Linked DNA regions of Diceros bicornis minor. The protein of the gene in region 2 binds, or shares a complex with, the protein of the main gene of each other region. Links are inferred from orthologs where the notes say so. Each region holds a gene or a part of one and is shown on either strand. Other genes may lie near its edges. The genes, in order: TWSG1, GDF5 and HJV.

Region 1 (7,797 bases), on a different chromosome or scaffold from region 2:
TTAGGAGCCCAGAGGCTGTCAGGGACTTTAGCTGAGGAAGTTGTTCATTTAATCAATTCATTCAGTTAGCACTGACTGAGCACTTACCATGTGCCACTGTGTTGAGTCACGGAAGACGATATTTTATATTTGCATAGGGTGATATGTGAACAGAGTTTAAAGAGTGGCAGGATTTATGTAGCCAGAAAAAATGTAAGAATCCTGTCCCAAGCAAAAAGAAGAATGTGCAGAAATACAAGACTGGAAAAGTATGATGTGTGAAAATAGACCAGCTTGCCTTATGGAGAGGATTTGTATAACATCAAAAATATCTACACATTCTGGAATGAAAAGATGTTCTAGATATGTTAAGTGGGAAAAAGCAAGTTGCAGTGAAGTACTCTTAACATAATTTCAGTTTTTTTGCAAATACATCTTAATATACGTGACTCAAAAAAGATGGAAGAAATATACACGAAACTAAGGACAATCTCTAGAGGCTAAAATGGCAAGGGGCTCTCATTATGAAGTTTCATAATTTTCAAATTTTCCCCAGCCAAGTATGTATTACTTCTGTAATCAGAAGGGGGAAAAAAGGCTAAAATGAAAATAAATTAATAAATTAATACATATTTTAAATAAATAAGGAGTTTGGACCTAATTTGGTAGGCAACAGTGAGCCATGTGGAAACATTGGATTTTGGGAAGCCTTAGATGCATTTGAGAACATTCTCAAATGTAAATATCTCAATAGCCCTTGATAGCCCTTTGCAAGTATGTTTGCTGAAATAGCGTTTTCTCCAGCAGGTGGGTCTGCATGCTCCCGACTGGTAAGCTGGGCCTCCTACAGCCCCTAGACCCTGAGCCTGGGAAGAGCCTGCTTGAGTGTCACTTTTGCCTGGTGGATTAACAACCTGGTCATTGCAGAGGAAATTACAAGGGATTTATTTATTTATTTATTTATTTATTTATTAATTAGTGAGGAAGATTAGCCCTGAGCTAACATCCGATGCCAATCCTCCTCTTTTTGCTGAGGAAGACTGGCCCTGGGCTCACATCCATGCCCATCTTCCTCTACTTTATATGGGACGCCGCCACAGCACGGCTTGACAAGCGGTGCGTCTCTGCATGCCCAGGATCTGAACCTGTGAACCCCAGGCTGTCTAAGCAGAGTGTGCACACTTAACTGCTATGCCACCGGGCCAGCCCCTACCAGGGACTTTAGAGTTCGACATACAACAAAACAAAACAAAAATATCCTCAAGATTTTCTACATTTCTTTTTGTTTGAAACAGGAAGAGTGGAGAGGCCTTTGGAAGAAATTCATTTTCTTTTCCCATTCTTTTGATAGCTTTGCAGTAATTCCCATAACAAAGCAGGGAGGGAAGAGGGAAGGGGGAGAGAGGGAAGGAGTAAAGGAAGTTTATCCTGAAACAGGCTTTCCAACCCCAGTAGATCTTCCCTTCCACGGGAGCAGGATGAGAGGCTGAAAAACTGTGGCTCACTTTAGTTCAAATCTATAAAATCAAATCACCTAATTCAGCTGAGTCACCCAAGTAGAAAGAGATAAGAACGGAAAAAGGGACTTTGCAGATGTGACTAAACAAAGGACCTTGAGATGGGAAGTTATCCTGGAATATCTGGGTGGGCGCAATGTAACCATAACAGTTCTTATAAGAGGGAGGCAGGAGGGTCAGAGAAGAAGATGTGATTATGGTGGCAGAGTTGAGAGACAGACAGAGAGAGAGAGAAAATGAGGTGGCGGGGGATATTGATTTGAAGATGCTACACTGCTGACCTTGAAGATGGAGGAATTGGCCACAAGACAAGGAATGTAGACGGCTTCTAGAAGCTACAAAGGCAAGACAACGGACTCTCCCCTAGAGCCTCCAGAAGAAACACAGCTCTTCCCATACCATGATTTTAGGACTTTCGACCTTCAGAACTGTAAGATAATAAATTTGTGTTGTGTTATGACAGTAAATTTGTAATAATTTGTTACAGCAGCAATAGGGAACTAATACACCCCTTTCTGTGGTTAACTGAGAGTCTCAACCACTGACACATCTGGTTGAAGGTTAGGTGACATTTGACCTTTTCATTGAACCCTACTAAGAGGCTTTATTCCATTGATCATAAAGGCTTCTGGTAAGATAAAATAGCCACTACAGTGACCCCTGCAGCTCTCAGATTCCCAAACTGCCAACCACAGATCCAGAACCACTTGATACCCACCTGGGGGCTCAAGTACCATTTGATCTTCTAAGGAATATCAAAGAGGATCTTTAATTTAAATTAAAAATAACTGTATTTTTTTCTTATTACCAAAGTAATATAAACAAAGACATCGGAAAATGCAGATGTGCAAAAAGAAAAAACATCGTCAACAACAACAATCACTGATAACCTCACCAAAAGATAACCACTTCTAACACCGTGGTTCTCTTTCCAGGCCTTTTAAAGTAATTTCATACACAATTTGTAATATTAATAATTCTAAAAATATAGACACTACTTTAAAATGTTAATATATCATGAATATATTTCCATGTCAACAATATTCAATAACACTAGTTCTCAAAGTATGATCTGGGGACCCTGGGGGTGCCAAGACCTTTTCAGGGGGTTTATGAGCTCAAAACTATTTTTATTTTAATTCCAAGACATTATTTGCCTTTTTCATTCTCCTCTCATTAGTATAGAGTAGTTTCGTAGAGGCTACATAGGACATGCTATTGCAACAGTGCCCGCTGCCTGAGGCACATAGAAGCCAATACTATGGCATCAGGTTTTGAGAAAAGAAAAGGCTTTATTGCGAGGTTGACTGGCAAGGAGACAGGAGGCAAGGTTCTCAAACCTGTCTCTCCAATCCAAGGTTTGGGGCAAAATTTAAGAAGTTAGGGGCTACTCAGCTACAGCTGGGCCCATGTAGGCTGATTGGCTAGTCTCAAATCTGGCCATATACGGTAATCAAGCTACTTGGGCTGCCAGAAGCCAGATTTTCCTTATTGAAGGAAGATTCTTGGTTCCACGGTCATCTTGAGGATATGGGTGCCTGCCTGGCACATGCACAGTGCCATCTCTGTTATTGAGCAAAGTTTGACTCAAATGATCTGTTTTAAGGAAGCATAACTAGCTTAAGCTGGCCAGTGTTTTATGTGCTGTTTCAACAGTTTGAATGCAGAAGCAGATGTGAAAATCCAGCTGCCTTCTATTAAGTTTGACATTAAAGAGAATAGCACAATGTAAAACAATGCCACTCTTGTCACTAATTTTATTTGGAAAAATATGTATTTTTCATAAAATGTTATTCATATTCCCATATAATAGAGTCTATTATTTTTAAATGAAATAATGAGCAAATATTTCTTAAACTTCTCAGTTTTAATTTTAAAAGTTTTGATAGATGTAGCATACATAAACAAAACCGCTTTGGAGCCCTCAATAATTTTCAAGAGTTTTGGTCCTGAGAGCAAAAAGTTTGAGAATCGCTGAACTACAACGTTATTTTTTAATAGCTGATTTAGTCCATTGCGCTGGAATATCATCATTCATTTAACCAGTAAGTAATGCCAGAATAAGATCCTTAAAATTAAATTTGTGTAGACTCAATTATTTCTTTAGGATAATTTTCAGGGATGATTTTAAAAATGTATACTTATTTGCTTATTGTACAAAAATGGACAACTGTCAATAATGCAATCCACCTCCTGAGCCAATCAACTCTTTGCATTCTTTCCGTTTTCTTCTAATCAGCAAAGGGGAATGTAAAACACTTAAGACTTCTACTAGCTTAAGCTTTAGCACTGAGTCACATTTCCAAGGTGAAAGTACCTTGTGGGTCATCTAGCCTAACGGGCTCCAACTTAATCACTCTGGAATCCTTTTAAAAAGCAATTCCCAGGGTTGTGGGAAAGAACTGAGTGCAGTTCTCAATCGCCTTTACGTGCTAAGGGTTGGTGGAAGGAACTCATTTTTCTAAAATACAGGCTGAAATGAGTGCTGGTGTCATACATACTTGGGTAGCCCTCTCCTGTGAGGCTGTGGGGGGGCAGCCATTTGTCTAGCTGTCCCTGCTTTCCACAGGGCAGTGAGCTCCTCCTGGCCAGCACCCCGGGGCCTCCTCCCCTCTGTTTCCAGCGCTTAGCGCCATGCCGGCACTCGGTAAGGGCCCAGCAAATCGTAGTGAACTGCTCAACGAAGTTCTGAAGGCTCTACCCTTGGAGATGCCTATTCCGTAAGTCTGAGGACCCAGAAACGTACGTCTGACGTCGTCACAAGGATTCAAGCGCCCGCTCTACTGGGTACGGCCTAGGCTACTCAAGCACTGGGTGCCTCGGTCTTGCATCCTCATAACCGGGCAGACAACAGCTCTCTCACAGGGTCGCTGCGAGGATGCAGTGAGCTCACACACGTCGCGCTCTCAGCTCCGTGACTAGGACGTGATAAGCCTTGAAGCATTGGTAGCTGTTGCAGAGGAGCCCCAGACACCGGGCCTCACCGGAGGGTCGGCCGAGCCGGAGAAGGCTGACAAAAGAGCCGGAGACGCGGGCGGGGCACAGGGCCGAAGAGCAGCGCGCGTGGGCGCCGCCGTGGGTGTGTCTCGGGCCGGGGGTGTGGCCGCCGGCGGGCGTGACCAGAGGGCGGGGCCAGGGCCGGCGGGCGGCGTGCGCTGACGGGGGCGCCGGGAGTGAGAGACGCCTCCTGGCGGGCGCTGGCGGCGGCGGGACCCGCGCGCGGGCGGAGGGAAAGGGGGGAGCGGGGAGCGGGCGGAGGCAGCGCGCCGCCTGCCCCTCGAAGGTGCCGGAGGCTCGCGGGCACTGCGCGCTGGGGCGGCGCGGAGGCGCGGGGCGCGGCGGCCTCCTTCGCACAGCCCCGCGGCGCGCCCCGGGCTCGGCCGACCCGCCGGGAACCAGGGCCAGGCGGCCTCGCGGCGCACGGTGAGCGGGAGTGGGCGGGGCGGCACTGTGGCCGGGAGACGCCGGGCCGCGCTCGGGCCTCGGGAGGCCGGAGCCGCGGAGGGCTTCGCGAGGCCCGGGCCCCGCCCACGCGGCGGCCGAGGTCCGGCAGCGGTCGCAGGCGGGTGCTGGGCGCGAGCGGCGGGCGGGGCCCGAGCCCGCCGCCCCCCGCCGCCCCCACCGCAGCGCCCGTGCCCCTCCCGGGCTCGGCCCGCCGTCGTCGCCTCTGCGTCCTCGCTGGGCGCGGGGCTCGGTCCAGCGGCACAAAGGCTGCTGTCAGTGCCAGCTGCCGTAGGGGCCGCTCGCAGGGCGCCGGAGCCTGCGCTCCCAAGACGCTGCCACGATGCGGAACACGGTTCTGACGCCGTGCTGTTTCTGACTCCTTAGGAACAAGCCAGAAGCCCTTTAAAGCATTCTCTTAGCTGCTTTGTACATGCCCTTATTTACTTGAATACTTTTTCTAGTAAGATTTTGGGAGTAGGGTGATTTGTCACACACTTCAGAAGACAGCCTTAAGAGATGAAAAAAAAATCCCATTTTTAGTGTTTGTAGGATGAAACTAGTTGTGGAAAAAATCAGTTTTCAAATGCCTTCTTTTGCCTCGACAAGTATGTACTGGTGGCTCCAGAAATCATCCGACTTGTGTGTGTCGTTACATAATTTAAAAGTTGGGGGTACTAACGGTCTCTAGGGAATACTTTGTGGGCCTGAGTAGCAATCGCCAGGGCTTTATTCAGTCAGACCGGGCACAGAGCCCTGTATTCTTTTCACCTTCTTACTGCTTTTGCTTTATTGTACTTCGTAATACTTAGAATAGTAGTTTACAGTAATCATAAAGGCCCCATAAACCCGCCTTTTATGTCTCTTACATCAGTAGTTATTTACTTTAATTGATTATATTTTGGGAGTATGTTTTAACCCCAAGAAGTTTTATCTTCTCTTTTTTGAAAGTTTAATAACCATGTTGGTTGTTTAACCACTGTCAGAATTTGTGCTGGTCTTTCTTTCCTTTTTCTTTTTGAACTGTAATATCTTCATAACTTGGAAGAATCTATGATGCCAATAGAATCAAAAGAATATCTTCACATTTTAATAGATTATCCAGAGTTCTTAATGCAATTAATAATTTATTATCCCCTTTGTTATTTGCTAAATTATTTCAGGGAACGGCTGTTGACTCCTTTCTTTGAGCAGCCTCATTTGGGCTAATATATATTAGGAGACAAAATGAAATAGTCATAAATAATCAATAGAATAATTTGCATTTTAAAAATTTGTTTTAATTCTAAGAATTAAAATGTTGTTAAATGTTTTAAAATTATAATACAGTATTAATAGTTTTTATGGGCTAAAGGTTGAATAATGGGCCTAAAACTAAAGGTGAATAGTAGCAGTGCAGTATTGAAACTAGTTATTTGCCTGGTAAACTCTCAGGTTACTGATAGTTTAGAGATGTATAGATAGACAGATGTGTGTGTATGTATGTAAATCTGTTTATGTATCTGTAGAGAGAGAGAGAGAGACATATATATTCACTTTACCTTTACAGTCACCATTTCTGGGTGGTCTGAGGAATTTCAGTATTCTAGATCTTTGAAGATGGCTAACGAGACATTACGATATAAAATTGTCGGTTTTTTTTTTTTTTTTTGAGTTTTGAGTAATCTTTCCTTGAAAATGGTCTTTAAATGATCACTTAAAAGTCTTCTAACGCAAACGATGAGTCTTGGTTTATTTGTTTTTCATTTTTGTATTTGCTTTTACCCTATCACTTGCCTTTGAATTAAAGTTTTGTTGTTTTTTCTTTTTGTTTGTTTAGCTTCCTGGGAGTTACTGATTATCTTTGAAGAAACATGAAGTCACACTCTGTTGTTATGCTTACTCTAACCATCCTGGTCTTCCTGACATGGGTCCCTGTGTCACTGAGTTGTAATAAAGCACTCTGTGCTAGCGATGTGAGCAAATGCCTCATTCAGGTAGGACCAAGAGTACTTTTTATTAATATTAAAATATATTGTGGAGCAGACATAGAGCACATATATACAGTATATATGTATATAAAGTATATATATATAATTTAGTGTAAGGCCTGAGTATTAGATCAGGGCCTGAGGTACTGAACCGTCACACACTGGTTTGTATTTTTGCCCACATAGTTCTCTTGCGTACAAGCAAGGTCAGAGTCAAGAAGTTCAGTACTGAGAATAATATCCTGCTTTGTAAACATGCCAGTACAAGGTGATGAACACTCTATTCAGATGAATTAAAGGGTTCCCTTGTATAATTTAGTTTACATAGCAAAGGGGCTCACTTACTGTGTTTAGGAAAAAATTTAGCTGGTCAAGTAATGGACAAATGTTACCCTAAGTATAATGTGTTAGTTGTCTATTCCGTGTAATAAGTTACCCCCAAACATAGCAACTTAGTGCAATAAACATTATTTCATGCAGTCTCTGAGGGTTGGGAATCTGGGAGTAGTTTATCTGGGTGGTTCTGGCTCAAGGTCTCTCAAGGTTGCAGGTAAGTTGTTGGCTGGGATTGGAGAATCTGCTTCCAAGGTACTTGACAGTGATCGCTCTTTCAGTCATCGAGGCAAGCCTAGTGATGTAGCTACCACTCTTACTTTTTTTTTGTGGAGAAAAGTGAGGTTAAGTAATTTGGCGAGGTTCATATAGCTAGTAAGTGATTGTGGAACATGGTATGTGTTTGACTCCAAAGCCTCTGGCCTTTCCACTAAACATACTGGTTATTACGCTCGATAAAGTTGTGTTAATTAGCAGTAAACTTGATGTCCTGTATAGCTGTTCTCTCTTTTCCCAACATATTAGACCATCAGCAGTCTTGTACCCATTGTGGGTCT
Region 2 (7,948 bases):
ATTTTCTCATTTGTGAAACACGGACAATATTAACAACAGAATCTTTTTTTTTTTTTTAAACTATAATTTATGGAGCACCTACTATATGCTGGTCACTGAAAGAAAGGTACTTTATATACATAAATACATTTAGTTCTGATAACCAGTCTGTGAAGCTGATATTTTTATCCTCATTTTACGGGTAAAGAAACAGGGTTCAGAGAAGTGATATTTTTTAAATGTAAATAACAGCTAACATTTATGTAGTGCTTACTATGCATGAGACACTGTTCTAAGAACTTTACTCACTATTTAACTAATAACAACTCTATGAGGTAGGTATATTATTATTATTTTCGTTTTATACATGAGGAAACTGAGGCACAGAGATTAAATAATTAGCCTGAGATTACACAGCTGATGAATCAGGGAGCCAGGATTCGAAGGCAGGTAGCCCAGCTCTTAATCATTAAGTTACAAATCAGACAACTCTCCTGCTTCAAACCCTCCATTGGGTTTCCCACTGCCCTAAAAATAAAATCCAACATCCTCTCTCTGGCTTGCAAGGCCATACTCCATGTGGTCCTGGCATGATCTGACCTCATCTCCTTTCACTCTTCCACTTACTCGCTCTGCCTCAGCTGCACCAACTTCTCATGGCTCCCCAGATGTGCCAAGCACATTCCTGTCTCAGGAGCTTTGCATTTGCTGTTTCCTCCACCTGAAATGATCATCCTCCAGACCTTTGTATGGTTCCTTCCCTCACTACATCTGGCTCTCTGCTCAAACGTCACCTCGTTAAAGAGACATTCCTATCTAAAATAGACATCCCTTTGACCCTGCTTAATTTTTCTTCACAGCACTTAGAATTCTCTGAAATTATGCATTTGTTTGCTTGTTTGTCTGTCTCTTCCACTGGAATGTGAGCACAGACTTGGTGCTCTTGTCCACTGCTAGATATCCAGTGCTCAGGCCCAAGACCTACCACATGTCAGGCACCCAATATATAGTTGCTGGATAATTAAGTACATAAATGAAGGAATACCCAAGGTCACCCAACTGGTTAGTGACAGAGCCAGGATGAACCAAGTTGTCTGATCCTGGAGCCTCTGCTGTGAGCCACTGTGCTGTGCTGGACTGACTCCGAGAGATCTCGGGAGGTTCAGATAGCATAACAGTTCTGAAACCACTTTGAAAATTGCTAAGTCCTTGAAAAAAAGCAAAGGATTATTATTATTATTCAGTTCACTGTTTGCTTATCTATGAGATGGAGATAATACTACTCTGGCCTGCCGACTTGATGAGGACATTTTGTGGCGTGCCAATGAGATAATTGACGGGGAAACATGTATAAGAGTTAGAGGGTCTACATGGTAGAAGGGACTGTAAAGATTATTCCCACGCCAGTGGCTTCCCAAGGCTCCCATCTTCCACCTCAAGTTTGACATTAATATTGCTGACAGGAGAGGAGGAGGTAGGGGGACATGTGGGACCGAGGGACTCTGCATCCCAGTAATTAAACATGTTGGGACTGAAGTGCTGCCAGCGGCAGCATCTGGTTGCAATTACCAGAGGGGACCGAAGTGATTAGTCACCTTTATAGTGAGAGCCAGGCTGGTCCCCTGGGCTCCTCCCTGGAGAGGGCCTTCTAAGCAAGCTCAGAATCCCCTTTCCCTGCTCCCACCCCATCTCTGGAGCTCCCTGGTCCTCAAACAATAGCCCCTGCTCTGAGACTGACTCCTCCATGTCCCCAGGTCCCAGCCCATTGGATGAGACCTTGACTGAAAGCCAAGAATACTGTAATTGCCCCCACCACCCTTTCACTTCTTGTGTTTCTAGAAGCCAGGTTAGGATTCTTTTGTATAAATATGTCAAAGTAGGAATCAGGCTTAAAAAGTAATTTAACCTTTCTGAACTTTGATCTCTTCATCTGTAAAACGGGGGTACTAAGAGTACCTTCATCATAGGATTGTTGTGGAGATAAATATGATAAAAATGCCATGGGATACAAAGACCAGAGTCTAGTTTACTAGAGTAAGTGCTCGATAAAGTGTAGCAATTATTATCTTCCAGGTGCTAGGCTAATCACTTTTTATGATTCATTTCATTGACTCCCCATAAAAACCCTGTGAGGTGGGTACTGTCATGATACGTGTTCAGAGTTTCAAAGAGGTTTAGAGGTTTCCAAAGATCACATAATGCACTAAACCATATAGCAGAACCAGGATTCAAAACCAGCTCTGTCTCCAGAGTCCTGGCTCTTGATCAACCATGTGTAGGGGCATCTTGGTTGTTTGATTCATTCATCCCTTCATTTATTCACTCACTCAAGCTTACAAAGTGCCTAATAAGTGGCAAGATGGAATCCCCTGCCTTTAAGGAGCTCAGGGCCCAGCGGGGAAGGCATGATATGTCCACAAGTAACTACGCTTTTGAGTAGAAAATGATGGCTTTTGTATATAAGGGCCAGTTAGAGATTCATTCATCCATACAGCACATACTGAGAATCTGCTATGTGCTGGGCCCTGTGCCCAACACTGGGAATAATTGAAAGATAAATATGGTACAGTCTAGTCATAATCTAATGGTGGAAACAGACATGTAAATAAATTATTACAGTTATAAGGAATTAAGTTATAGTTTTTAAAAATATGAAAAAAGTACACAGAGTGGAAGAAATGAACAGTGCTCGAGATGGGGCAGAAGCAGAACTGAATAATCTTTGAGCTGCCAAAGTGGAAAGGGGTACAGAAAATGATGGCAATTCAGGAGTGTGTATTTTCTGGTGGATGAGAGGAAGCTTCATGGAGGAGAGGGCGCATGTGTTGGCACTTTTCAATGGGTACGTTTTAGAGAGAGGGAGGGTTGGGACAGAGATCCTGGAGACCTGGAAGCCAGGCATAAGGGAATTATAGATGGACAGGCAGGGAGGAGGACTGAGACAGTGAGGCAGCGGGGATGGAGAGGAGGGAGGAATGCCAGAAAAGACTGTTAAAGTGGGACAGGTCAAAAGGAAAGCCAAGTGTTGTGAATCTGGGCAACTGGAGGGATAGCAATGAATTCAGCTCTTCCTTAAAGCTCCCCACAAAAGTGCCTGGTGGTGCATTGGTCCTTCGAGATGGGAGGTGGAGCTCTACTGAGTTTTCTGACCTAGGAGCCCTAGATGAAGCTTGAAATGGACAAATTATGCTGTTGTGCTCTGAAGATCAGTGAGGATATGGGAGCATCACCACGAAAAGGCTAGTCAGGCACCTGGACACCCCAGCTGTGAGTTTCATCTTCTTTGATTCATCAAACACTTACTAAGCTCCTACTCTGTGCCAGTTTATGCTGGGAAACCTATCTGGTGAGTACACCTGATCTAGAGTCCACCAGGTTTAGAGTACAAACAGATCTCTATTAGGTAGGCTCAAAGAATCTCAGCTTAAGAAGGAAGCCCACCTGACTACTGCTTCTACTGTGGCTGTACTTCTTACAGTGTGACAAGTGTTGTAATAAAATGTACAAGAAGGAGTAATTGGCTCTGTCTGGGGATCAGGGAAGGCTTCCAGAAGGAGGTGAATTTCAGCTTAAGCTCTCAGGATGAGGAGGACTTCTGCAGTTGTGGGAGTAAAAGGAGGGTATTGCAGGTGAAGGAAATACCTTTCTCCCAGGAGTCCAGCTGGAATTCAGACTTCTTCCAGAGCTACCAGAAAAGCATCAGGTGGGAAATCATTTTTCCAGTTTCCTGCAGGGGCCGCTGCTGCCCCAAGCTGGGGCTGCCACCTCTGGACTCAGCCAGTGATTTCCAACAAAACTCTGAGTCTGTCTTTGCTGGGGTGGTGGTGAGGTAGACCCTGGACCTGCCTCCATTCAAGGAGCGGGCTCAGGGGTGGCAGTGCCCCCCGGAAGCCTGAAGAAATGATCTGAGCTCAGTCATGGCATCGGGAGGAGGAGGGTAGTGGGTACCGATATTCTTCTGTCTCTGGGTCACCGTAAGTTTATTAAAATAAAAGAAACTGTGGGTAAATGCTGCCATCTGTGCTGCCCACCCCCACCAACAACAAATCAGGCCCCAGACTAGATGCAGGGGTTGAAACTACTTTAAAAACACCCCAAGGACTTAACTGAAAACTCACACTCCCCATGCTTCGGGGGCTTAAGATCCTTGAGCTCATTCCTCAGCATCTCTCCTCAGGAAGGTGGGGTGGGCTGTCCTGTGAGGTGGAGGTGAAGACCCCTGAGTCGGCTCCACAGACTGAGAGGCCCCCTAAGCTCGGAGTCCCGCTGTGGGGCTCTGTGCCAAGAGCCCCCATGAGCCACGGCCTGGAAAGGGCAGCAGTGATTTTTTTCACATAAATATATCGCACTTAAATGAGTTTAGACAGCATGACATCAGAGAGTAATTAAATTGGTTTGGGTTGGAATTCCGTTTTCAATTCCTGAGTTCAGGTTTGTAAAAGATTTTTCTGAGCACCTGCAGGCGTGTGTGTGTGTATGTGTGTGTGTGTGTGTGTAAGTATTTTCACTGGAAAGGATTCAAAACTTAAAAAAAAAAAAAAAAAACTGGAGCACACAGGCAGCATTACGCCATTCTTCCTTCTTGGAAAAATCCCTCAGCCTTATACAAGCCTCCTTCAAGCCCTCAGTCAGTTGTGCAGGAGAAAGGGGGCGGTCGGCTTTCTCCTTTCAAGAACGAGTTATTTTCAGCTGCTGACTGGAGACGGTGCACGTCTGGATACGAGAGCATTTCCACTATGGGACTGGATACAAACACACGCCCGGCAGACTTAAAGAGTCTCAGACTGAGGAGAAAGCCTTTCCTTCTGCTGCTACTGCTGCTGCTGCTGCTTTTGAGGGTCCACTCCTTTCATGGTTTTTCCTGCCAAACCAGAGGCACCTTCGCTGCTGCCGCCGTTCTCTTTGGTGTCATTCAGCGGCTGGCCAGAGGATGAGACTCCCCAAACTCCTCATTTTCTTGCTTTGGCACCTGGCTTGGCTGGACCTGGAATTCATCTGCACTGTGTGGGGTGCCCCTGACTTGGGCCAGAGACCCCAGGGGGCCAGGCCAGGATTGGCCAAAGCAGAAGCCAAGGAGAGGCCCCCTCTCGCCCGGAACATCTTCAGGCCAGGGGGTCACAGCTATGGTGGAGGGGCCACTAGTGCCAGGGCAAAGGGGGGCACCGGGCAGACAGGAGGCTTGACACAGCCCAAGAAGGATGAACCCAAAAAGCTGCCCTCCAGATTGGGTGGCTCTGAACCCAAGCCAGGACACCTTCCCCAGACAAGGCAGGCTGCAACGCGGACTGTGACCCCAAAAGGACAGCTTCCCGGGGGTAAGGCACCCCCAAAGGCAGGATCTGTCCCCAGCCCCTTCCTGCTGAAGAAGGCCAGAGAGCCTGGGCCCCTGCGAGAGCCCAAGGAGCCGTTCCGCCCGCCCCCCATCACGCCCCATGAGTACATGCTCTCGCTGTACAGGACGCTGTCCGATGCTGACAGAAAGGGAGGCAACAGCAGCGTGAAGTTGGAGGCTGGCCTGGCCAACACCATCACCAGCTTTATTGACAAAGGGCAAGGTGAGGGGGCGGGGTGGCAGGGGCACGGCTCAGAGGGAGGGGCATCTGCATGCATGGAGGGGCCTTTCAGAGCCCTGACACTGCACTGGTGGGAGATGTGCGTGCATCTGGCCTGGGGTGGTATCTGGGACGTATTTCATACATACCAGGTCCCAGGCTGCTGGCATGTTAGAGCTGGAGGGCACCTGGGAATCACCAAGTCCAATTCCTGCAAGTTGCAGAGGGGCTAACTGAAGCCTGGAGAGGAGACAAGACCAGCCAGTTGGTGGCAGAGCTGGGGACCAGACTCTAAGACTCTTGACTACCAGGCCATGTTCTGTTCCTATGTGAGTTGGCCAAACTTTCCAGGCTCCAGGGGTTTGTAGTTTTTCTCAGATGGCAGAGAGAGAAATGAATCTCTAGATACCCATGGTTCTGCAACTTTCTTTCAGGCTAGGGGGCAGAGGAGGCAGGATAGTTGAAGACAGTAAACAAGGCATCTTGGAGTCATGGAACGACATTTAGACACAGGGAGTAGGGGAGCAGACTTAGGATCTAACTCACAATGTGACCTTGGGAAAGTCTCTTCCCCCTTTGGGGGTCTCAGTTTTCTCATCTGTACAACTATATGGGGGTTAGACTGGGAGATTTCTGAGAGCCTATCAAATATGGAACCTTTATGTCCTGTCCTAAACACATATCATTTTTATCATTAACCCAGGAGAATATCTGCTCCCCTCACTTCTCCCTCTGTCCACCTAGCATTACTGTCTTGCCTTTTTCTCTCCACTTGCTGTGTGATCTTAGCAAGTCCCTTCCCCTCTCCTGGCCTCAGTTTCTCCATAGATGTGAAGAGGGAGGTGGATCACTGATTGCTAGGGTTGCTTGCAGCGTGTATGCTCTGGTTCTCAGAGTCTTAGGGCTTTAGCTGGCAGGGTGGGGGAAGGGTCAGAGAGTGGGAGAGGCTCCTCATTAGAGCTGGCCTGTGGGGGATGACAGAGGGCGGGGGAGGCACAGAGGCAGCAGGTCTGGCTGAGGTGGGGGAGGTGGCCTGGCTGCCTGCCCAGCTAGGGAACGCTGTGACCCCTTGGGGGCTCATAAAATAAGTCCCTGTGCCCCCCCAGCACTAAGGGAGCCTGCAGAGGGGGAGACAGAGGGGGAGTTGGGGAGTTTAAAGGCCTAATTAGTCACTTTCTAGAGCAATATATGAATGCTTCCCAATGGCAAATTGGTATTTAGCAAGGAGGGCATGCTGATTCGGAGATACTACTGAGCTTCTTGTACGCACAAACAGCCATACATACATGCTGAATTACATACACACGTGCACACACACACACACACCTTCTTGTATATACATAGATTCTTCTTACATATATACACACGTATACATGTACATCCTTCAAATATTCACACAAGACCAATCATACATGCACGTAACATGTCACTCAAAAAGTATGTATTACATTTCATACTCACATATAAGCCCAATAATACACACATGCACACAGACTGTCACTCACACACACACACTCACATACCCAGCAGGGTAAGACACATGCACAACAAAATCATTAGACTGGGAAGCCAGGGAAATTGGATTATAGAGCAGCTTTGTCATTAACTTGCTGTGTGACCTTAGGAAAGTCAAGCCTCCTCTCTGTGCCTCATCTGTAAAACGAGAATACTAAGATCTTCTATAAGGTATCGTGGAAGCAGCTCAGGATTGGGTATAAAAAGCTCTAGGCTAGGGGCTGGCCCTGTGGCATAGTGGTTAAGTCCAGTGTGCTCCACTTCAGTGGCCTGGGGTTCGCAGGTTTGGATCCTGGGCGTGGACCTATACTACTCGTCAAGCCATGCTGTGGCTGCGACACACACACAAAAAAAGGAGGAAGATTGGCATAGATGTTAGCTCAGGGCCAATCTTCCTCGGCAAAAAAAAGCTCTAGGCTGGAGTTCCAACTCTGCTTTATCCTAGCTGAGTGACTTTGAGCAAGTCACCTGACTTCGCTGAGCCTCAGGTTCCTCCTCTGGAAAAACAGGAGTAATTAGAATACCTACCCCACCTATCTCACCAATGAGATATCATGTTAGACAACAGATGGGAGAGGGACAGGTAGCAGGCAGTTCTAAGGCTAATGGGTCTCTGATAGGAGCATCACTGACACAAACACCTAGAATCACTCAAATCACCCACAGCCACATTTACAGATAAACAACCTTACTTGGTCGGCTGTGTAGGAAGCTCACTTGTTTTGAAAAAGGCTCGCTCTCAGTGGTTTGGGTCTTGGCATCTGTCAGAGTGGGGAAGAGGTTAGAGAAAGCTCTCTTGAAGGAGAGAGAGCTATGGCCCTCCCCTGAGGCCTCGAGATGACTGGCCCTCTTGGTGAAGTTGCAGGGAATGACTTCTGGGTGTTCTCTCTAGATGACCGAGG
Region 3 (7,182 bases), on a different chromosome or scaffold from region 2:
CCTAAGATCCGGACAACCCCCACTTCATTTCTGAACCAAGAAAGCAGAACACATCCTGCCCACATATGTTCATCAAATAGACTCTTTTCCCTAATCATTTCCTCCTCTTTCCATCTTCCAAGAGAAAAGATCATTAGATTTTGAGTCTCTTATAGGTAATGATCATGTCTTCCTCTTTCAGTTCTCCCCTCTTAGGAGTCTCAACCCTTAAGTTCTACTGATCATCAGGACCCCTATAACCTCTAAGCTTGTAGGGGTGATCTCAGGAGTAGATGGACTGGAACAATTCAATTACTATAAATAGGACTGGAAAAATTGGTGAAGAGCCCCCACAGAGGTCTGGAATGCAGTAACTTTGCCCCGAATCCTTATTCTGTGATCATTTCAAACCTGGACTGCAGCCTTATCTGACTCTGGGTAAATGTCATTGTTTCATGTGTCTCCTAGTCCAGTTTCCTTCAGTGATTCTTTATGTTCTTCCCTACCAATCTCTATCCCCAAATAATTTCTAAACCAATCATGGGATTGCTGGCCTATCTATTGAATGCTAAGCCATAGAACAAAGAGCCCAGAAAGGAGTGGAGCTAGGGGGGTTGCTGAGGAAAGAGGAACTCCGGTATCTGAGGGGAAGAGATGCAGCTTTTCTAAGTCTGGTAGGAAGGCTCTGGCATCCTCCAGAGCTGCCTGAGCTGCCACAGTAAAGTTGGGGTCACCAGAGATTGAAACATCAAAGACACAGGAATGGAAGTAAGCGTCTTCAACTGGCAGCCCTTCCTTGCACAGCTGTCTGGCAGTATCAAGTGTTATAGCTCCCCGACGATTGCGCTCTGAGCGAGAGAGTCGTTGACTTGGGGGGCACCCCCCAACACAGAGCTGCAGGTCCTGCTCAGCTGAGAAGGCCCTGGCTACATCCTCTGCTACCTTGATGGAGAAGGAGAGTTGCCCAGCTGTCTGCCGAATGATTATAGTTGTGCCAATATAGGCAGCTCGAATCTCCACATGGCTCCCAAGGTTAGCAGTTCGAATGGACAAACTTGAGCCCCCAGGTCGGTCACCTCCATTGATAGAACCATCTTCAAAGGCTGCAGGAAGATTGTCCACCTCAGCCTGGTAGACCTTCTGATCAATGCATTCCTGCATGTTCTTAAATATAATGGTGAGCTGTGAGGGCAAGAGGGAAAACAGTTCATTTTGGGCTCAGTGCATCCTACCCCCTTCCCCCAATTAGGCCTCATACATAGTCAGGGATATGATCCCAGTAGAGATGCAAGGCTTGTTCTGGCTCTCACTGCTTGATCCCTTCTTCTCTTTATGTTCCAATATTGCCTCATCCCTGGTCAACCCTTCCCTTCCTTTTTGGTCTCAATCTCAGCAATTCCCACAGGAGAAGTAAAGTTTCCCTTCTCTAACTTCTCAACCCAGGGCTCCTCAGCTCTCCTCTCCCCAACCTTCTCTTCAATGTTTTCTGCATTGGAGTGAAATTCCCACCAAGGAAAAGTGATTTACAGGAGCAACTGTCTGGCAGGTGGGAGTGATTCAAGATGTGGGAGTGGTTGAGGAAGAAAGGGAATAGGGAGCATTGCTGTGGAATAGTGGGAGTGGGATGGGAGTGGTACGGTGGGGTGACCATGAGAGGGTCTGGAGGAGCCGTTGAGTCCCTGACCTTCCGGGTGGTGGTGGCGTTGGCCCCCGATGCCACAGGGGAGCTGGTGGCCTGGACAAAAAGGAAGTCATTATCCAGCAGGGGCCAAGCTCCTTGGACACGGCACGTGTGAAAATGGTGGTGGAAGCTGCGGACGTGGGGGTCCCCGAAGGAGGCACAATGCAAGAAGCCCGGGGGACGACCGTGCAGCCGGGAAAACCGGCCTTCATAGTCACAGGGGTCCGGGGCTGGGGGGCCAGAGGAGCGGATGGGGCCTTCGCCTGGAAGGGCTGGGCCCCGGGGCGGGGGCGGGGCAGTGGGGCCTTGGCGGGAGCAGTTGTGCTGGATCATCAAGTCTTCGATGCCGTGCACAGCCGAATGGAAGGCGAGGTCCCCGCGGCAGGTGCGGGCTGTGCGCCGAGTGCAGAGGGCGTAGGAACGGAGGGCTCGACAGAGGCCGATGGAGCCCACCCCTCCACCCCGGCCTCCTCCTCCTCCTCGAAGCGCTCCTGGTGAACCCCCACCTCTAAGGCTCAGGGTGGACGACACGTACTCAGCATTGCAGCGGAGGATCTTGCATTGAGAATGAGCTGAGATGGAAAGGAGAGGATTGTGAGATGGTCCCCAGATCCGGGCTCTATCGGAGTATGCTCTCCCAATCTCAGCAGGGGATTCCAGGCGTTCCTAAAACCCAGCTGAAGGCCTTCCCCAGTCCCCAGCCCCCAGGTCCCTAGTCCTGTCGTCACTCTGTCTTGCTAAAAATATGTAAGACTGCTAGATCTTTTCTCCCTGTCGATCAAAGGCTTTCCCAGAACCCTTCCCCAAGATGAATGAGAAACAAAATATACCCATTTGAGAGTGGGATGAATGACAAGGACTCCTCAGCACCCATCTCTTCTCACTCACACATGCTTACACATGCCCACCCCTACATAGCAGCCTACCCTCTAGATTCCCCAAACCCTTCCCTAGCCCTTCCTTACCATGTCCACAGAGGAGCAGCAGGAGAGTGAGAGTGCTTAGAGTTGGGGGACTGCCATGGGTGGACCGGGGACTAGGGGACTGGCCTGGATCCCCCATACCTATCCAGCCAGGTCCCCCCAGGCTCCAGTTCTTTCCAGCTGATGACCCTCCTACCTAGTGAATTTTGACCGGACGTCCTGTAAGGGACTGAAAAAAGAAATTTGGCTGGGCATGGGGAGAGAGAAGAGTTGAAGATTGTTCAGGATGATGTAAAGAGAATCTGGGGAGATCAAGTAAAGAATGAGCAGACTGGAGTTTGGGGAGAAAAGGGCTCCCGAAACTGTAAGTGTGGCTGTTAAGCCTCTGTGCCCTGCTCTTGTGGCCACTTTCAGGTCCCTTATGCAATACCCCTAGGTGGGGGTGGAAGGAAGGTTGAGTGGACTCAGGGAGCAGAGTCCACTGTATTGCCCCATCCTGAACTACCAAATAGCGGAAATGTCAAAAAAGGAGGAATCATGGGGATAGATCAGATCCCAGTCATCCCAGTGGGCTCCCCAATAGAGTTAGGATCTGAAAATACTTCAGAAACATACCTCTTATTTGTCCCTCCCCATCAGGAGGGGACACCCTCTAGGGGTCATTAATTTCTTTTCCTCCTTTGTGTCAGAATTTTCAGCAAGGAGTAAGACTGGAATACCCATCCCCTCTCTAGAACATCAGTATTCAAATGAAAAGGAAACGGATTTCTTTCATCTACTCTAGAGAGCTGCAATTATAATCCTTCTCTCTCATGGAATAATGGGATGCAAACCAAGCATGCAAATCAACATTTGTTTGTTCTGAGTCAACAGTTCTTGAATTTTTCCAAACCTGATTGAAGAACCACTCTTTTCATTAATCTTCCCTTTGCAAATTCAGAAGTTCTCAATCTTTTTATGAGGACAGGGCTTGGGGAGGCACTAACCTCCTCCTGCCGAATTCCCCACTCTTGGGGTAAGGATATGATTGGGGGAAGAGTCATGCAGGAGGGAAAATAGGATGGTGGGACTAGAGTTGTGAGGAGAAATCATTTACAACAAGGAGTAGCCCCCACTCTTGGAAGTCCATTGTGAAGGCCACTGCTAAGCAGGGGCAGGGTAGAAGGGTATCAGTGACTAATCATCTGAGGTTAAATTTGGTCTTGGTGAGAAAACCACAGAATGGGGGATGTGGGAATCTCCTCCTAAAGAAGGAGACTTCATCAGAAGTCTTGAGGTAACAAGGTAAGGAGAGAGCTAAGACTGCCTAAAAAGAGACTGAGGATTAAACTTCAAATGGCCAGAGGCCAGAGGCCAGAAAGAAATAAGACAGAAGGAGAAATGGAAATTGGGACACCTTAGTATGGAAGAAATCCTAGCTTTTGGACCAGAGACATCCACATAGGTGTCGTAGTTTTAGGAAAGTCTAACTTCAATCCTAAAGCTTATTAAAGGAATTGCAATTTCATTTTCACTTACTGTTTCCAGAGGTCAAACATTACTCTGATATCCAATTCTCCAGCCATGACTGCCTACTCTGTCGGTCAGCTCCAGCCAGGGGATGCCCCGTCTCTTTCTCCATGTCTCCCACAGGTCCTCAGACTGGCTGCAATCTCACTGAGGTCAGGGAGCCAGAGAAGGTTTGGTGTGGGGGAAGGAGGAGTATATGGCTGGCCGGAGTACTGGACAGCTGAGCGGGGGAGGGAGGTGGCTACTGAGTTGACTGTTTTAAAAATAGCTAAGTCCAAAATTCCAGGAGTGTTGGTGGGGGTAGGGTATGGGACTTGGGGGAGTGGGGAGGGTAGGAGGATTAGAAAGAATATGGCGTATAGGGTACCAAGTCGGGGAGGGGAGACAAATATTACAGGCAGGTCAAATACCCAGTTCCAGCTTATATGACTCTAGTCACTGCCTACTCCAGGCAGCCCTCCAGCATTGTCAATAATGAGCTCCTGGCCTTTAAAAATTAGAGTGGCCAATTGTATACTTTTCGTTCACCCTCATCCCTGCTATATTGAATATCGCATTTAGTTTCTATAGAACGTATCTAGGAGGTAGCTGACTTTAAGTAAGATCCATAGCAGAGGTGGTTCACAGCCCCTCCCCTATTTTTGCAGAGTATTTCAGGAGGACTAAAAAAGCCAGCTGTCCAGAGAAGAAATCTGAGCTCTGAGTTGTTTAGGATGAGGGTTTGTTTCAGTCTACCAGGTCAGATCCTTGCAGCTGTCTATCACCCTACCTCCTCCATTTTCATTCCCTTAGTTTATACAGCAATTCCCCTTCCCTCCCTCTCACCAATAAACAAAAAAATAAAAAGCTCCTAAGTTGCTGGGAGAGGAGGCTAGCAAAGGCGAAGAAGTGAAGAAAGAGTAGAGATAGAATGTTTTGATGATTACTAATCTACAGGGGAGCGGGACTTGGAGAGACAAACTGAGAGAAAAAGAGACTCAGAAAGGTAATTTTGTGGAGTAACATAATCTTGTGACCTTTTAAGATGTTGCAACCAAGGAATTTAGCTATGTCATATTTTTGCAGCCATAAGCATCTGGGATCATCTCTTAGTACTTGCCAAGTGAAATTAACACAAGGGCTGATTCCAAATAGTGTCAGTAAGGCATCTGCATTAATTGGCTCTACATTTAATGCAAAATCTAGAGGCCCACACAGTACTCTTCTCGTTATTATACATATGTATTTGACAAATTTAGTTTTTTTCTCTACCACATGAGGCCATATCACAAGGGCTTTTATTACAAAAATGTAAAATGCCCCCAACCAAACTTCAAGTGACTTTAAAGCACAATAATTTGACTATGGCATCCCAAGTGGGATATACTCTAAGGACAAAAAGAAGTGTAAAAATATTTTAAAGTAGTCATGTTGTTGGTGGTTGTGTTGGTATTGTTATTCTGAAACTATTGTGAGTGTATTGTGGGATAAAACAAATGAATAATAATGTTAGTGTCTTTGTGAACCAGGATTTTTGGTGTAGAATAAAGAGATACAGATTTGTGATGGAAGAAGTTAACTAAAAACTGTATAATTCTGGATTTAAATTGGAAGTATAACTGTGAGCTCATGGTGTATTTTATCCTAAAACATTTTCTATCTTTATCCTGAAAAGGCCTAGAAATGATAACTCAGTAGCAATGAACACCCCTAGTGTCCAAATTGAGCTATCTAAATGCCGTTTCCCACTAAAAGGAATTCCTTGGAGAAATTTCAGGTGTGGGGCAGAAATTGTCCAAGATAAGCAAGGAAGCTTTCAAAGGCTATTAGGAGTGTACCAAAAGGACTCAGAAGCAACTAGAATAGTTCCCACTGGCCAAAGATGGGACAATTTGAGTGTGAAAATGGATACTCTCTGCGATGGATTTAAACATATCAAATATATTCAAATCTATGTGTTCACATTGATGCTTAAAAATACAAACTCGTTGGTCATTGTTGGAGAATGCTAGAGGATCAACTCATTATTTTGAAGATTGCTAGTAATTGGAAGGAATCGGGCATTTATCCTGTTTTTCCTGTGGTAATTCAAGACAAGAGGAAAATTTCTCTTTGTAGAAGTTTTCCAGCAAATGAATGAAGAAAGAATGGCATAATTAGAATATCAACATTTCATAACTCCTAATGAATTAAGGTATCTGGGCAATGATCAACAGCGACTGTTATCCATTACAAAAGGAGATACAAACATTATGTTCTTCTGATCATAAGTAGAGTACACAATTCCACCTACGAAGTAGCCTTGCATTCTGAATCTGATCAACCTCTAGACTAGAGCTAACTACTAATTTGGAGGAAACACAGGAGACATCAAGTGATACCTCAGAGATGCAAATCCAGAGTGTGGGAATATGCTACAGGACAAATGCCCTGGGTTCTTCAACAAATAAACTGGAAAAAAAAGATGGAGAGGGAACCTATAAACTAAAAGAGACTTGAGAGACATCAAACAGTTGTAGAGTATGGACTTTATTGGATCCTAAATCAAGAAAAAAAAATTATGAGACAATTAGGGAAATTTGAATGCTGATGAACACTCACTGAATACTTGGTGATTTATAAGGAATTATTGTTAAAGTTGTTGGTGTCATAAATGGTACTTTTTTTTTTTGTGAGGAAGATTGGCAACAAGGTTGGCCCTGAGCTAACACCCCATAAATTGTACTTTTTAAAAAACAAGTGCTTATCTTTTAGAGCTACATCTTGAAATATCTGCAGATAAAAAGATAGGATAGGGGGCTGGCCCCATGGCCTAGTGATTAAGTTCCGTGTGCTCCGCTTCAGCAGCCCAGGTTCGGTTCCAAGGCGCAGACTTATACCACTGGGCGGCAGCCATGCTGTAGCAGCGACCTACATGCAAAAGAGAGGAAGATTGGCACAGATGTTAGCTCAGGGTGAATCTTCCTCAGCAAAAAAAAAAAAAAAAAAAAAAGCATACGTAGGATTTGCTTTCAAATAGTCCAAGATGGGGGAGAAGTGAGTGGGAGTAATGATAAAACATGATTGAAACATGAATTGATAATTGTTGAAACTGGATGATGGATACACAGG

What was found.
Region 1: the proteins of GDF5 (region 2) and TWSG1 are in contact, whole or in part, in a crystal structure (PDB 8BWL), measured with the Homo sapiens proteins. The link is inferred for Diceros bicornis minor from reciprocal best matches to the Homo sapiens genes GDF5 and TWSG1. Residues at the interface, in NP_000548.2 of Homo sapiens: Glu434, Phe435, Pro436, Ser439, His440, Glu442, Asn445, Val448, Ile449, Leu452, Ser455; in NP_065699.1 of Homo sapiens: Cys26, Lys28, Cys31, Ala32, Ser33, Val35, Ser36, Leu39, Ile40, Cys44, Gln45, Cys46, Arg47, Cys73, Val74.
Region 3: the proteins of GDF5 (region 2) and HJV are in contact, whole or in part, in a crystal structure (PDB 6Z3L), measured with the Homo sapiens proteins. The link is inferred for Diceros bicornis minor from reciprocal best matches to the Homo sapiens genes GDF5 and HJV. Residues at the interface, in NP_000548.2 of Homo sapiens: Met412, Trp414, Trp417, Phe478, Asp480, Ser481, Lys488, Tyr490, Met493; in NP_001366281.1 of Homo sapiens: Arg95, Arg98, Gly99, Leu101, His104, Ser105, His108.

Annotation. Positions count from the first base shown.
Region 1 is NC_080755.1:7,358,964-7,366,760, forward strand, and holds the start of TWSG1 (twisted gastrulation protein homolog 1), read left to right. Parts: upstream 1-4,757; 5' UTR 4,758-4,919; intron 4,920-6,756; 5' UTR 6,757-6,790; coding exon 6,791-6,913; intron 6,914-7,797. UniProt on the Homo sapiens protein: May be involved in dorsoventral axis formation. Seems to antagonize BMP signaling by forming ternary complexes with CHRD and BMPs, thereby preventing BMPs from binding to their receptors.
Region 2 is NC_080758.1:24,266,882-24,274,829, forward strand, and holds the start of GDF5 (growth/differentiation factor 5), read left to right. Parts: upstream 1-4,909; coding exon 4,910-5,534; intron 5,535-7,938; coding exon 7,939-7,948. UniProt on the Homo sapiens protein: Growth factor involved in bone and cartilage formation. During cartilage development regulates differentiation of chondrogenic tissue through two pathways.
Region 3 is NC_080743.1:53,509,242-53,516,423, forward strand, and holds HJV (hemojuvelin), read right to left. Parts: upstream 2,741-7,182; 5' UTR 2,723-2,740; coding exon 2,626-2,722; intron 2,233-2,625; coding exon 1,664-2,232; intron 1,162-1,663; coding exon 538-1,161; downstream 1-537. UniProt on the Homo sapiens protein: Acts as a bone morphogenetic protein (BMP) coreceptor. Through enhancement of BMP signaling regulates hepcidin (HAMP) expression and regulates iron homeostasis.